Alligator mississippiensis: one gene and its partners. The protein of the gene in region 2 interacts with the protein of the main gene of each other region in a biochemical or structural test. Links are inferred from orthologs where the notes say so. Each region holds a gene or a part of one and is shown on either strand. Other genes may lie near its edges. The genes, in order: JAM2, PARD3 and JAM3.

Region 1 (3,745 bases), on a different chromosome or scaffold from region 2:
CCAGGACGTTATTCTCCCCTTGTACTCAGCTTTGGTGAGGGTGCAGCTGGAGTACTGTGTCCAGTTTTGGGCTCCACAATTAAAAAATGATGTGGAGAAGCTTGAGAGGGTGCAGAGGAGAGCCATGCGCATGATCAGAGGTCAGGAAAACAGACCTTACGATGAAAGGCTGAGAGCTATGGGACTCTTCAGCCTGGAAAAGCGCAGGCTTGGAGGTGATCTGGTGGCCCCTAAGTTTATCAGGGGTGCTAACTAGGATCTGGGGGAACGTTTGTTCACCAGAGCGCCCTGAGTCATGATGAGGTTGAAGGGTCACAAACTCCTCCACGACCATTTCAGGCTGGACATAAGGAAGAACTTCTTTACTGTCTGAGCCTCCAAGGCCTCGAACAGCCTGCCACCGGAGGTGGTTCAAACACCTACATTGAACGCCTTCAAGAGACATTTGGATGCTTATCTTGCTGGGATCCTATGACCCTAGCTGACTTCCTGCCCTTGGGGCAGGGGGCTGGACTCGATGATCTTCCGAGGTCCCTTCCAGCCCTAATGTCTAGGAATCTATGTATCTATACGCTAGTGGCGGTTCATTTTGATCATGGAAAAATGTAGCGTTTGGCTTACCTTTTTTAACCCCAAATTACGGATTTTTATTTATTTATTTTTTTGTTATCAGAGGCTCCTCGTTCACATGACACCGGCAGGGTATTCCTACTGCCTGAAGAAGGGTGCTAACGCCTCGAAGCTGACAGAAGAACTTTCCCCCCCAAGTCAGTCGGTCTGATACAAGCGCTCCCATCTCCGCGGGGACCCTCGCCCGGCGGGGCTGATTGGGACGAGGGAGAGGGGCTCTGCTCCCAGCTAGTGGCGCCCACCCCACCCCACCCCACCCTGGGGCTGGCCCAAGGCCACGGGAGGCGCGGAGCAGCGCCGCCCCGAGGAGCAGGGGCCGCTCCTTTGTCTCGTCCCCCGCCCCCGGCGCCGCGCCGGACGCTGCCCGCGGCTGCCTTTCCCGGGGCTGCGGCGGGGGTCCCGCCGCGCAGGAGCCCGAGCTCGGAGCAGCCTCCGCCTCATTAGCAGCGTCCCGCGGCCGCAGAGCGGCTGCAGCCGGGAAGATGGCGAGTCGCCCCTGCCTCCTGCTCCTGCTCGGCGCCTTGGGGGCTCTTAGCTGTAAGTGGCGGTGCTTCCCTCCCTCCCGGGGGCCTTGCTGGGACCCCTCCAGCCGTGCACGGGCCGGGAGAGCCGGGGGGTCCCGCTCTTCGCCTCCCTCCTCCGCTCGGGCAGGGAGCGCGGGACGGCCGGCGCGGCGGCGGGGTCCCTGCCGCCTCCTCCCGCCTCGCAGCCGCAGGGTCCTGGAGAGGGAGGGGTAACAAATGCTGCTTGCTTGCTTGTGCTCACGCTCTCGTTTTCGTTTTCACGTTTCATGGCACTTCTGCCTCCAGGCAGCAGCTGCTCCAGAGCCCTAGGGGAAAAGGAGGGTGGGAAGGGACCTGTGCAGGTCATTTAGTGCAGCCCCTTGCTCCAAGCAGGACCAGCCCCAATTAAGTCATTCCAGACAAAGCTTTGTCATAGCAGGCCTCCAAGGATGGAGAGTCTGCCACCTCTCTGGGCATGGGGGACTGGTGCCGCCTTAGTCAGGGGGGCATATGATATTCCCCCTCCCCCAAATGTTGCCTGGGCCTCCCCTGGCTGGTTGCACGACTCCCCTGCAAGTCCCCACTCCCCAGCCGGCACTTGCAGGGAGGCACTGGCGCTCCCACCTGCACCCCTGCCCATTGCTTGAGTGGGGAGTGTAGCCTGACAGGGGGTGCACATGCACCCTCTACGCATCACCACAGTCTCTGGGGAGCCGGTTCCCGTGTTTCACTACATCCCTAGGGAGAAAGTTTTTCCTAATATCCAACCTCAACTCCCCTTGCTGCAGCTTGAGACCATTACTCCTTGTTTTATAGATGCTGGGGCTGGGAAGGGACCTTACAAGATCATCAGGTTCAGTCCCCCAGCACTTAGGCAGGAAAGACTGCTGGGGTCAGATGACCCTAGCAAGGCAAGTGGCAAGATGCTTTTTGAAGATTGTGGGGGTGGGTGACTGTGCCACCTCTGTCATCTGCTACCACTGAAAAGTCTCTCTTTTCCAGTGCTTTACTGCCCTGCTCCTGAGGGCATTTTTCTCTAACTTAAACTCCCTCTTCAAAATCATTCGATTCCTAGAACATGAGGGTTAGAACGGACATCAGCAGGTTATCTAGTGCAGTCGTTCTCAACCTTTTTTGTATCGGGACCCATGTGTAAACATCGATGGACAGTTCTGACCCAATCCTGCTCGCTCCTGAGCCACTGCCCCTGTTCCAGGCCCCGGCCCTGCAGTGTGTGGGGCAGGGGGTGAGTGTAAGCGAGGCATGGAGAGCCCCAAGCAGCCCCTTAGAGGCTAGGACTGCCAGCCTGCAAGAGGAAAGCCATGGTTTCCCACATTTTTTCTCCTTTAAAGGAGAATCCATTTTTTAAGTTGGTTGATCCATTTTTAAAGTTTGTTCATGACTCTTTCATATATTCTTGCAACCTGCTTTTGGGTTGCAACCCATGGGTTGAGAAACACTGATGTAGTCCAACCCTCTGTTCAAAGCAGGACCATCCTTAACTAGATCATCCCAGCCGAGGCTTTGTTTAGCCAGGCCTTAAAAATCTCTCTGGTTCTCTTGCCATTGGGGGGGGGGGGGGGGTCTCACCCTAACAGGGCTCACATTGCTTTTGAAAGGATCTCAAGGCACCCCTGGGTGCTGTAGTAACCTGGAGGAACATACTGGTGCCACTGGAAGACATCCAGCAGAGCAATTAGAAACTCAAGCAGCTTTTTTCCCATGAAACCAACCTGCTTAGTTGTCCCCTAGGTTCTTGTTGCTGCTGCCATCCCGGTGGCAGCTGAGTGGCGCTTGGCGTAATCAGCAGTATAATGCAAATGTTGCCTTTCTTAATACCGAGCTGATTTCTGCATTCCTTTAATCCCCATAGCTGCTTATAGCCCTATGTAGCTTTAGTACAGCTTCAGGTCAGACCCCAGAGTCTGAAACTATTCTTCTCCTTGACTCCAGCAGCCGAAGCCAAAATATGTACCCAACATAGAAAGAACAAACGATAGCTTCAGCACAACTGCGGGGAGCATATAGTGAAGCTATTGTTTGCTCTTTCTTTGTTCAATACATATTTTGGCTTTTAGATGCCGGCAGTCAAGGAGAACAATAGCTTGGGTCTCTTGGGACCTGATCTGATGCTCAACTACAGTTGTTGGAGCTCCACACTGTTAAGCAGGCTTGTGGTTAACCATGATAGTGCTTTTACCCAGTAATGCAGCTTTTCAGAATATTATTTTCTCCTAGAAATTAACAGGTGGGAGCCAAATATTTTTGCATTTCTGTGAAGTGGTTTGAATGCATTATGCCAATGGAAAAACAAAACTGGATCTTGCAAGTTCAGAAACGCAACACAGGTGTTTTTGTTACTTTTGAATCATTTTCTCAGCTCACTAAAAAAGAACAAGAAAGGGCATAATAAAATGAATCTGAAAAAGCTTGCCTGACCTAGAGGGCAGGCTGAACGTAAGTGTGAGATACCAGAAGATATGAAAACACAGCTGTAGATAAACGGTAGATTAAAATGCAGCAAAATATGTCAGGCATCTGATAAGACAATATCATATGTAGAACTTATTTTACTGCATGCCTAAGATATCATATCAGGCATCCTGGTGCCT
Region 2 (3,745 bases):
AATAATTAAAAAATGACCATTTTCAGGCCCTGGGCAGCTGCCCAGTTCGCCCATGCCTCTGTCCAGGCCTGGTCACTGGCAGCAGCATTTCTGGTCAGTGCTGAGGGAGCCACTTGACTTCACAGCTCATTATAATGTACTGTGGGCATGGGTGACTGCTACCCTCCAGCGATCAGTCAGCGACCAGCAAGAGTCCCCCTGTGGCCAGTCTTGCCAACCAGGGCATAGCAGGGTCCCCCAGTTGTACCAACTGGGAAGCGGCCGTGGTGCTCCTGGAGGTGGCTGCAGCACTTCACGCGGCGCTCCCACTCCCTGGCCAGGGCTCCTACCTGCCCCTCGCCTAAGCGGGGAGCGCGGCCTGTCAGGGGGCGCACAGCACTCTCAGGGGTGCACGTGCACCCTCATGCACCCGCTACGCGTCCCCACTGGCTGCAGGGGTGGCCAACCTATGGCTCTTCAGACATGAACACGTGTCTCCTTGAATCTTTGCACGAGCACACAGGGGCCAGCTCCTTCCAAGCACAGCCGCCAAGCTGGTGCAGACTCAAGGAGAGGCATATTCACTTCTGAAGAGCGCAGGTCGGCCACCCTTGATCCAGTGGGTCGCTGCTCGGAGCTTCCCCGGGCAGCCGGGCTCTGCCCTGCCCTGCCCTGCCCTGCCCTGCCAGGCTGCGCCGGGGAACAAGCGCCCGTGTCGCAGCCGGGCGGGGGGCTGCCCCCTCGCTGCCGTGGATCCGGATTTGGCTTTGCCGCAGCCTTCAAGGGAAGGGTCCCGCCTGCTCCTCCTCCCCTCGGAGCGGGGGAAAGGAGCCGCCGCCGCCTCCCGCGCAGTCCCCGCCCCGGGCGCGTGTCATAGGTGCAGCCGCAGCCGGCCCTTCCCCGCGGCAGGGGCGGGAGCCGCAATGCCCAGCGCGGCCATCGCGGGGAGACAGCGCCGCCCCGGCCCCGTCCCGCCGCTGCTGCTGCCGCCGCTGCTGCCGGCCCCCGCCGGAGCGAGCGCCCGAGCCGCGCGCGGCCGCGGAACAGGTGGCCGGAGGCGGCGGCCGAGCATGTGAGCGGGGCCTGGGCGCGCCCGGGGTCGCGGCGCCGGGCAGGATGAAAGTGACCGTGTGCTTCGGGCGCACGCGGGTGGTGGTGCCCTGCGGCGACGGCAACATGAAGGTGCTGGACCTGGTGCAGCAGGCGGTGACCCGCTACCGCAAGGCGATCGCCAAGGTGCGCGGGGCCGGGGCCGGGGGAGCGGGAGCGGGAGCGGCGTCGGGAGCAACATGGCGCTTCCCGGGAAGCGGGAGCGGAGCCCGGCCGGGGCCGCGCTTTGTCCGGGGCCGCCGCCGCGGGCGCGCCCGGGGGGAGCCGGGCCGAGCCGAGCCGAGCCGAGCGCTGGCCGGAGTGGCGGTCCCGCCGCGGGCGGCGCCAGGAGCCAGGCCCTGGCCCCGGGGCAGCGGCTCTCTGCAGCTGCAGAGAAAAAAGGAAAGAAAGTAACTCGCGGAGAACAAAAGGGCCGTGCCGGGCCGGGCCGGCCGGGGGGGTCCTGTCAGCCAAGGCTTCCCCCGGAAAAAAAAAAGTTTCCAGCGCAGGGAGGAGCCTGTGTCCGGCCGGCGCCGTCCGCTGCCCCGAGCCCGGCCCCGGCCACGCGCGGCCGCAGGGTAGGGCAGGGCAGGGGCAGGGGCAGGGGCGGCCCGCACCCCCACCGCCACCCCCGTCGTGCGCCGGGCCCCGCTCGGCCCCGCCCGGCCCGGTCGGGTTGCCGCCGCTGGCAGCGGCCCCGGGCGGGAGGCGGGCTCGGCGGGGCTCGGGTGCTGCCCGTGGGAAGGTCTCCTCCGCACCCCCGCTGCCCCCGGCTGCTTCCCGCCCCGGCCGGGCGGAGACGGCTGTGCCCTCAAAAGCTTGCCTGCCTTTCTCCAGTCGGAGCCCCCCGCGGCTGGTTATTTAATGAAATGTTGTCCAGTGTCTCTTCCAAGTACTCGGCTCAGATGTTTGGGCATGAATTACTCTCTTTGGTTTTTTCCAACCTCTCTGAAATCCGCCCCCCCCCCCCCCCCAAAACACACACATACTTGATGGCAGGGTTTCGCTTTACAGATGTTTACATCAGGAGTTTCTCCAACTGCGCCAAGCTGGAGTTGAAAGTACACGGGGATTAGGCCGGTGGGTTGGACAGGATGTGCCCACAGCCCTCCCCGCTCCCCCCCAAGACGTGGTCAGGATGGGGGACGAAGGCAATTAAGTTTCTACCTTTTGATGAATTTTCCTCAAGAAGATGGTTTTGGAGGGAAAAATCATGACTACTTAGTGTATCTTTTAAAATCTTTCTGGTGTGTAACACACAGTTACAGCACTGACTAGCGAAAAAGTACAATGATTAACTAAAGTATGGCAGCTGCTATATACCAGCTGCTATCATTTATATACCATCCTTGTTGTGCGTGGCATTTCACATGCAAATAAAAGACTGCTTCCCAAGCTTTCTTATAGTTAAGAGCCCCAATCTGGTAAACCCCGACTCCTGGACTGAATGCTATTAATTTAACGGGTGCCATATGTTCTCCGAAATGGTCCCCAAGTTTTTTAGTATTAATGTTGCATTAATAACGTTGCTTGTATTAAACATCTTGGGTTTCCAACCTGTAGCCTGTAACTATCTTTCTTCTCACATCGGGCTGAATCTCATTCTTGTTTCCAGCTGCTAAAATTCATTAAAATATGGCAACAAATGCACTGAAATATAATTTCAGGAATGTAACCGTTACAATAGTTAACACAGGGAGGTTATGTGAAGGAAGATATTCTGATTTCTGTATGATTGCAAATGAGGACAAGTTATCTTTGACCAAAACTGTCTACCGTATGGGGAAAAAAACTTAAGAACCTCTGAAATGTGATATATTGACAGATGCACCGCCAAGGCTATTTGTGTGGTTATAGTCTTGGTGGCTTCCAGCCCCTGAAGCCCTTGATCCTGGTTTTGAAAGACCTTCTGTTTCATTTATTTATGTATTGTCCGGGATTAAGCTGTACTTCAGTCATGTGGGCTTGAGGTGACCCTACTTGCAATGAGATGGTTTCTGTTATTTGGAAATACTGTCTGGTTAAAACACCAAAATGGACACCACATGCCCCTTGCTTTTATGCTGTTAATGTAAAACAGAGTTTTGATGTTGTTAGTTGAAGATCTTGCATTGAAGTGCTTGGGTAATGTAGGGATTCACACAAGTGTCTCAGTAAGTAAACACGAAGAACTCCCCAAATGTAATGAACACCAGGACTGTTGTTCAGGAAACAGATTAATATGGAAATAGTTGGTGTGGTAATGTCAGATCTTTATGGTAGGACTCCACCCTTAGGGTGGAAATTAGAGGGTCCACTTGTACTGGAACGCTGCAGTTGTATGAAGCTTAATTTTTTTTTTCTTTTTTAACCTTTTATTTTAATCAAATATGTAATTGAGGAGGAAAATATGTAGGAGGGGGTGTTTTCAAATTGACTTCATTTGAAGTTGCTTAACCTTTGGAAAGCACACACCTCTTGCAGGACATCAGAAATCTAGTGGACATTTTTTGAAAATATTTTAATTGGCCTTACCACTTGAAAACACTGGTCCCAGTCCTGCAAAACTTGTGCACCCACTGCTCTATACTGGGAGCAGTCCCTTCAAGGGGATTGCTTAGAGCATGTGTGCCTAAAGCAAGGGTGGATAATTATTTTGGCTGGAGGGCCGTTTAACGAGTTTTGGTGAGCTGTGGAG
Region 3 (3,745 bases), on a different chromosome or scaffold from region 2:
CTAGCTAGGTGACAATGAGCTTTGAAGTCATAGAAATCAGAGAAAATGAGGGTTTCAAGGGACCTTGGGAGGTCACATCTAGTCCCACCCCATGCTCAAAGCAGGACCAACCACAACTATATGTCATCCCAGCCAAAGCTTTGTCTAGCCGGGTTTTGAAACCTCCAAGGATGGAGATGCCAACGCCTCTCGAGGTAACCTGTTCCAGTGCTTCACCACCCTCCCAGTGAGAAAGTTTTTCCTAATATCCAACCTCAACTTCCCTTGCTGCAACTTCAGCCCATTGCTCCTTGTTTTGTCATCTTTCACCTCTGAGAACAGTCCAGCTCCATCCTCTTTGTAAACCCCCCACAGGGAGTTAAAGGTTTCTATTAAACCCTTCTCAGTCTTCTCTTCTGCAGACTAAATCAGACCAGTTCCCTCAGCCTCTCCCCATAAGTCATGTGCCCCAGCCCCCGAACCATTTTCATTGCCCTCCACTGGACTCTCTCCAATTTGTCCCCATCCTTTCTGTAGCGGGGGCCCAAAACTGGACACAGGACTCCAGATGTGGCCTCACCAGTGCTGAATAGAGGGGAACAATCACTTCTCTTGACCTGCTGGCAACGCTCTTACCAGTGGGCCCTGGGACCTCCTGGTCAACCTCCTCCTGGCCCTGGCCAAGCTGGCTATATCTTACTAGGAATGCAGCTCTGACCAGAAGGGTCCCCGGGGACTGCAGGGCTGTATTCCTGGGTCTCCTTCGTTCCCATCTCTGAGCGGAGCACCACTGGACAGTAGCTGCCAGCTCCCTGGCTGCCTTTGAGAGTCAGTGGGCACTCCCTGGGATGCTCTGCTCAGCGCCTCCTGAGGGTACACTACTTTTGAACCTCTAGCCCACGTGCACAACCCTTTTAAAATATTTTGTCCCCCAAAATCAGTTTCATAGATTTCATAGACATTAGGGCTGCAAGGGACCTCAGAAGATCATTGAGTCCAGCCCCCAGGGGCAGGAAGTCAGCTGGGGTCAAAGGATCCCAGCAAGATAAACGTCTCTTAAAGGAGTCCAGAGTAGTTGGCACTCTTGTTTTGCTTTTGCCGCCCCATGGAGTGGCAGATCCGAGTGACATAGCAGGCATGTGCCCATGTACCCAAGGGCATCAAACACACCAGCCCAGGATGCTGTTATTATCCTTCTTGGCAGCAAGGGCACACTGCTGGCTCCTATCCAGCATCTTGCCCACTGTCCCCCCGCACCCCACACGTCCTCTTCTGCAGAGCTGCTGCCCAGCCAGCCCGCCCCGGCGCATGAGATTGTTTTGTCCTCGGTGCAGGACGCTGCACTTGTCCTTGCTGACATTTCTGTCTCCGTGTGGGGGTCCCTGGTTCCCAGCCCTGCCTGCCCCGCGCTGCAGCAGCACCAGCCACGCGGGGAGCATCCGAACCCCTGCGCCCCGGCGTTGCTCGGAGACGGTCGCCGCGGCAACGCGGCGCCTGCATCCCTGTCTCCCGGGCGCCGCCCTCAGCATCCCCCGCTGCCTCCTCCCCGGCCGGGCAGTGCGCAGGCTCCGCGCTCCGCACAGCCCGTCATGGCGCTGCCGCCGCCGCTGCTGCTGCTGCCGCTGCTGGGTGAGTGCGGGCTGGGGCCGGGGCTGGTCCGGCCGCAGCGCTGGAGCCGGCCCCGGGGGCCGGGCGGGCACCCTGCACGGAGCAGGAGGGCAGGGGAGCGCCGGTGGCTGCCCCGGGCGTGGGAAGGGATGGGGGGCACTGGGGTTCCCGCAGTTATACAACATCCAGCTGGAGAAAGGGAGACCGGCCCTGCCATCTCCTCGCTGGCTCGGCAGGGATCCCCGCCCCATCTCCTCCTCCGCTTCTGGATGCAGGAGAGGTCCAAGCAAGTAAACATTTGATTTTGCAAACGGTCGCGGGCATTTCCGAAACGTCCCGCGAAGCTGCTCTCTGAGTTTGTCGCAGGTTCGCCGGTGTTTCGTGTCCGCGCAAACCACCTGTTTTGGGGACTGAAGTCTTCGCTGAAAGAAACGTGTCCGGTCCAGGGGGAAATCACTTGGTCTGAGGGCTCTGGCAGGGTCTGGAGCTGTGATGATTTACATGCGTGTTGCCAGCGGCTCCGTCCAGCCGAACGGTGGTCATCACAGAGCAGACAGTGACATTTGTAGTTAAATCTTGGCAGGACTGAAGCTTTTATGTCCCAGAGCTGGGTGTCAGCTGGTTCTAGGGACTAAGGCCATATCTGATACCAGCTGAGGGTTAAAAGCACGAGAGAAGAGGGGCTGTGGCTGGAAAACTCTACCAATAAAACTTGGCAACAGGCTGAGGCTCCTAGCTGCAGAACTGTGAATGCTTACGACCTTATTCACATTACACTGTAGGGTCCTTGGGGCCATGACTGCCTCCCCACAGCACCACGAGGCCCTGGTCTCGATTGTGGCTTCCAAGTGCTGCCAAAATACAACAGACCAGGCCCAGAGCCTATAATAAACCGCACAGTTCAGGGCACGGAGCCCAAGAGCTGTCTGTGAGAGGCGAATGCACCAGGGCAACTCCGTGAAACAAAGGTACCGGCACAAATTGTCAGTCAAACCCTGATTTATGTTGTCGCAACACAACTCCGGTGATATTGCTGCATTGGTGGACAGGCCCTTAAATTTCGAGGACTTCATTGTTTCAGCCTGTTAGGGGCAGGGTTGGTCTCTGGACTTTGAATAAGCCCCAGAAATTCGAGGGGTGCATGGGCCCATCTGCTGCGATGCTTTGTTGTGTTCCCAGTCGCTGACTCAACTGATTTTGACTGGCTTAATTCTAATACACTTGATTCCACCGAAGCATTTCTTAATCTAGGCAGTAAGTCTCCTGACTTTTTTTTAATATAAAATCCACCTGTCCCAGAAGAAACAACTGCTGGGAGTCAGCTGCTGGTGCCAGAAATGGCTTCTTGATAGGAATGTTTTTAGCTTTAGCTTGGTTATGAATGAGGGGTGGGGGTGAGTGGCTGGTAAGTATTTTCTGATGACAGTCAACTGCAGTGTTGCTTTATTTTCAACACAATACAAAGGAGGAAAAGTTGCTCTCTTATCTGGGCTACAAGTGGATGCTTGATGCTGTGCTCAGAAAAAATTCCTTGGGAGGACTTGGTGCTTCCTAATGGGAGAGGAGCACTTGGTGTCGCTTCTGAAGTGTAACCGAAGGGGCTGCAAGTTTTGTGCACATCCACTCTACAGCTGTTGACAGAAAATGCCATGCGGGCAAATTCCCTCTTTCTCCGTGTGCTTCTGGCCGTGGTTTTGTTGCCTAAGCACAAGTGGGTGGAAGGAGGGGGAAAATGTATTTTTGTGTGAGGACACCAAGTTGCCGAGCATGGCTGACCTGGTTATGAACTTGGCTTCTCTTTGCTGGCCTGTTTCTCTTGCAAAGGCTGAATTTTGTGTCTCTTGGAAGGAACGTGGCTTTTTTTTTCGGCAAGCCCATGGTGTGCTTGGGAGCTGAACTGTGCGTAGGAGCTGCATTGCCAGCGGTCACCTAAGCACATCCATGGAGCAGAATGTTCTTTTGCACCGAGCTCCGCCAAGGACAGCGGCTGCTTTACGGATCATACTCGGTAGCCAGGGTCCCTGTATCACCTGCCAATTTGCCCCGTTTTCTTTGTTAACTCCAAAAGTCAAATGTTGGTGAGCCCTGCCAGCTCTTGCTTTTCCTGAAGCTTATTTGGATCAAGAGGGGAAGTTTTTGTTGTTGTTGTTAAGTTTTG

What was found.
Region 1: the proteins of PARD3 (region 2) and JAM2 form a complex in vitro, tested with the Homo sapiens proteins (2 studies listed by BioGRID and IntAct, with this or other methods). The link is inferred for Alligator mississippiensis from reciprocal best matches to the Homo sapiens genes PARD3 and JAM2.
Region 3: the proteins of PARD3 (region 2) and JAM3 form a complex in vitro, tested with the Homo sapiens proteins (2 studies listed by BioGRID and IntAct, with this or other methods). The link is inferred for Alligator mississippiensis from reciprocal best matches to the Homo sapiens genes PARD3 and JAM3.

What each region holds. Positions count from the first base shown.
Region 1 is NC_081824.1:286,856,649-286,860,393, forward strand, and holds the start of JAM2 (junctional adhesion molecule B), read left to right. Parts: upstream 1-964; 5' UTR 965-1,112; coding exon 1,113-1,167; intron 1,168-3,745. UniProt on the Homo sapiens protein: Junctional adhesion protein that mediates heterotypic cell-cell interactions with its cognate receptor JAM3 to regulate different cellular processes. Plays a role in homing and mobilization of hematopoietic stem and progenitor cells within the bone marrow.
Region 2 is NC_081828.1:194,860,566-194,864,310, reverse strand, and holds the start of PARD3 (partitioning defective 3 homolog), read left to right. Parts: upstream 1-894; 5' UTR 895-1,095; coding exon 1,096-1,215; intron 1,216-3,745. UniProt on the Homo sapiens protein: Adapter protein involved in asymmetrical cell division and cell polarization processes. Seems to play a central role in the formation of epithelial tight junctions. Targets the phosphatase PTEN to cell junctions.
Region 3 is NC_081839.1:27,935,204-27,938,948, forward strand, and holds the start of JAM3 (junctional adhesion molecule C), read left to right. Parts: upstream 1-1,510; 5' UTR 1,511-1,568; coding exon 1,569-1,608; intron 1,609-3,745. UniProt on the Homo sapiens protein: Junctional adhesion protein that mediates heterotypic cell-cell interactions with its cognate receptor JAM2 to regulate different cellular processes. Plays a role in homing and mobilization of hematopoietic stem and progenitor cells within the bone marrow.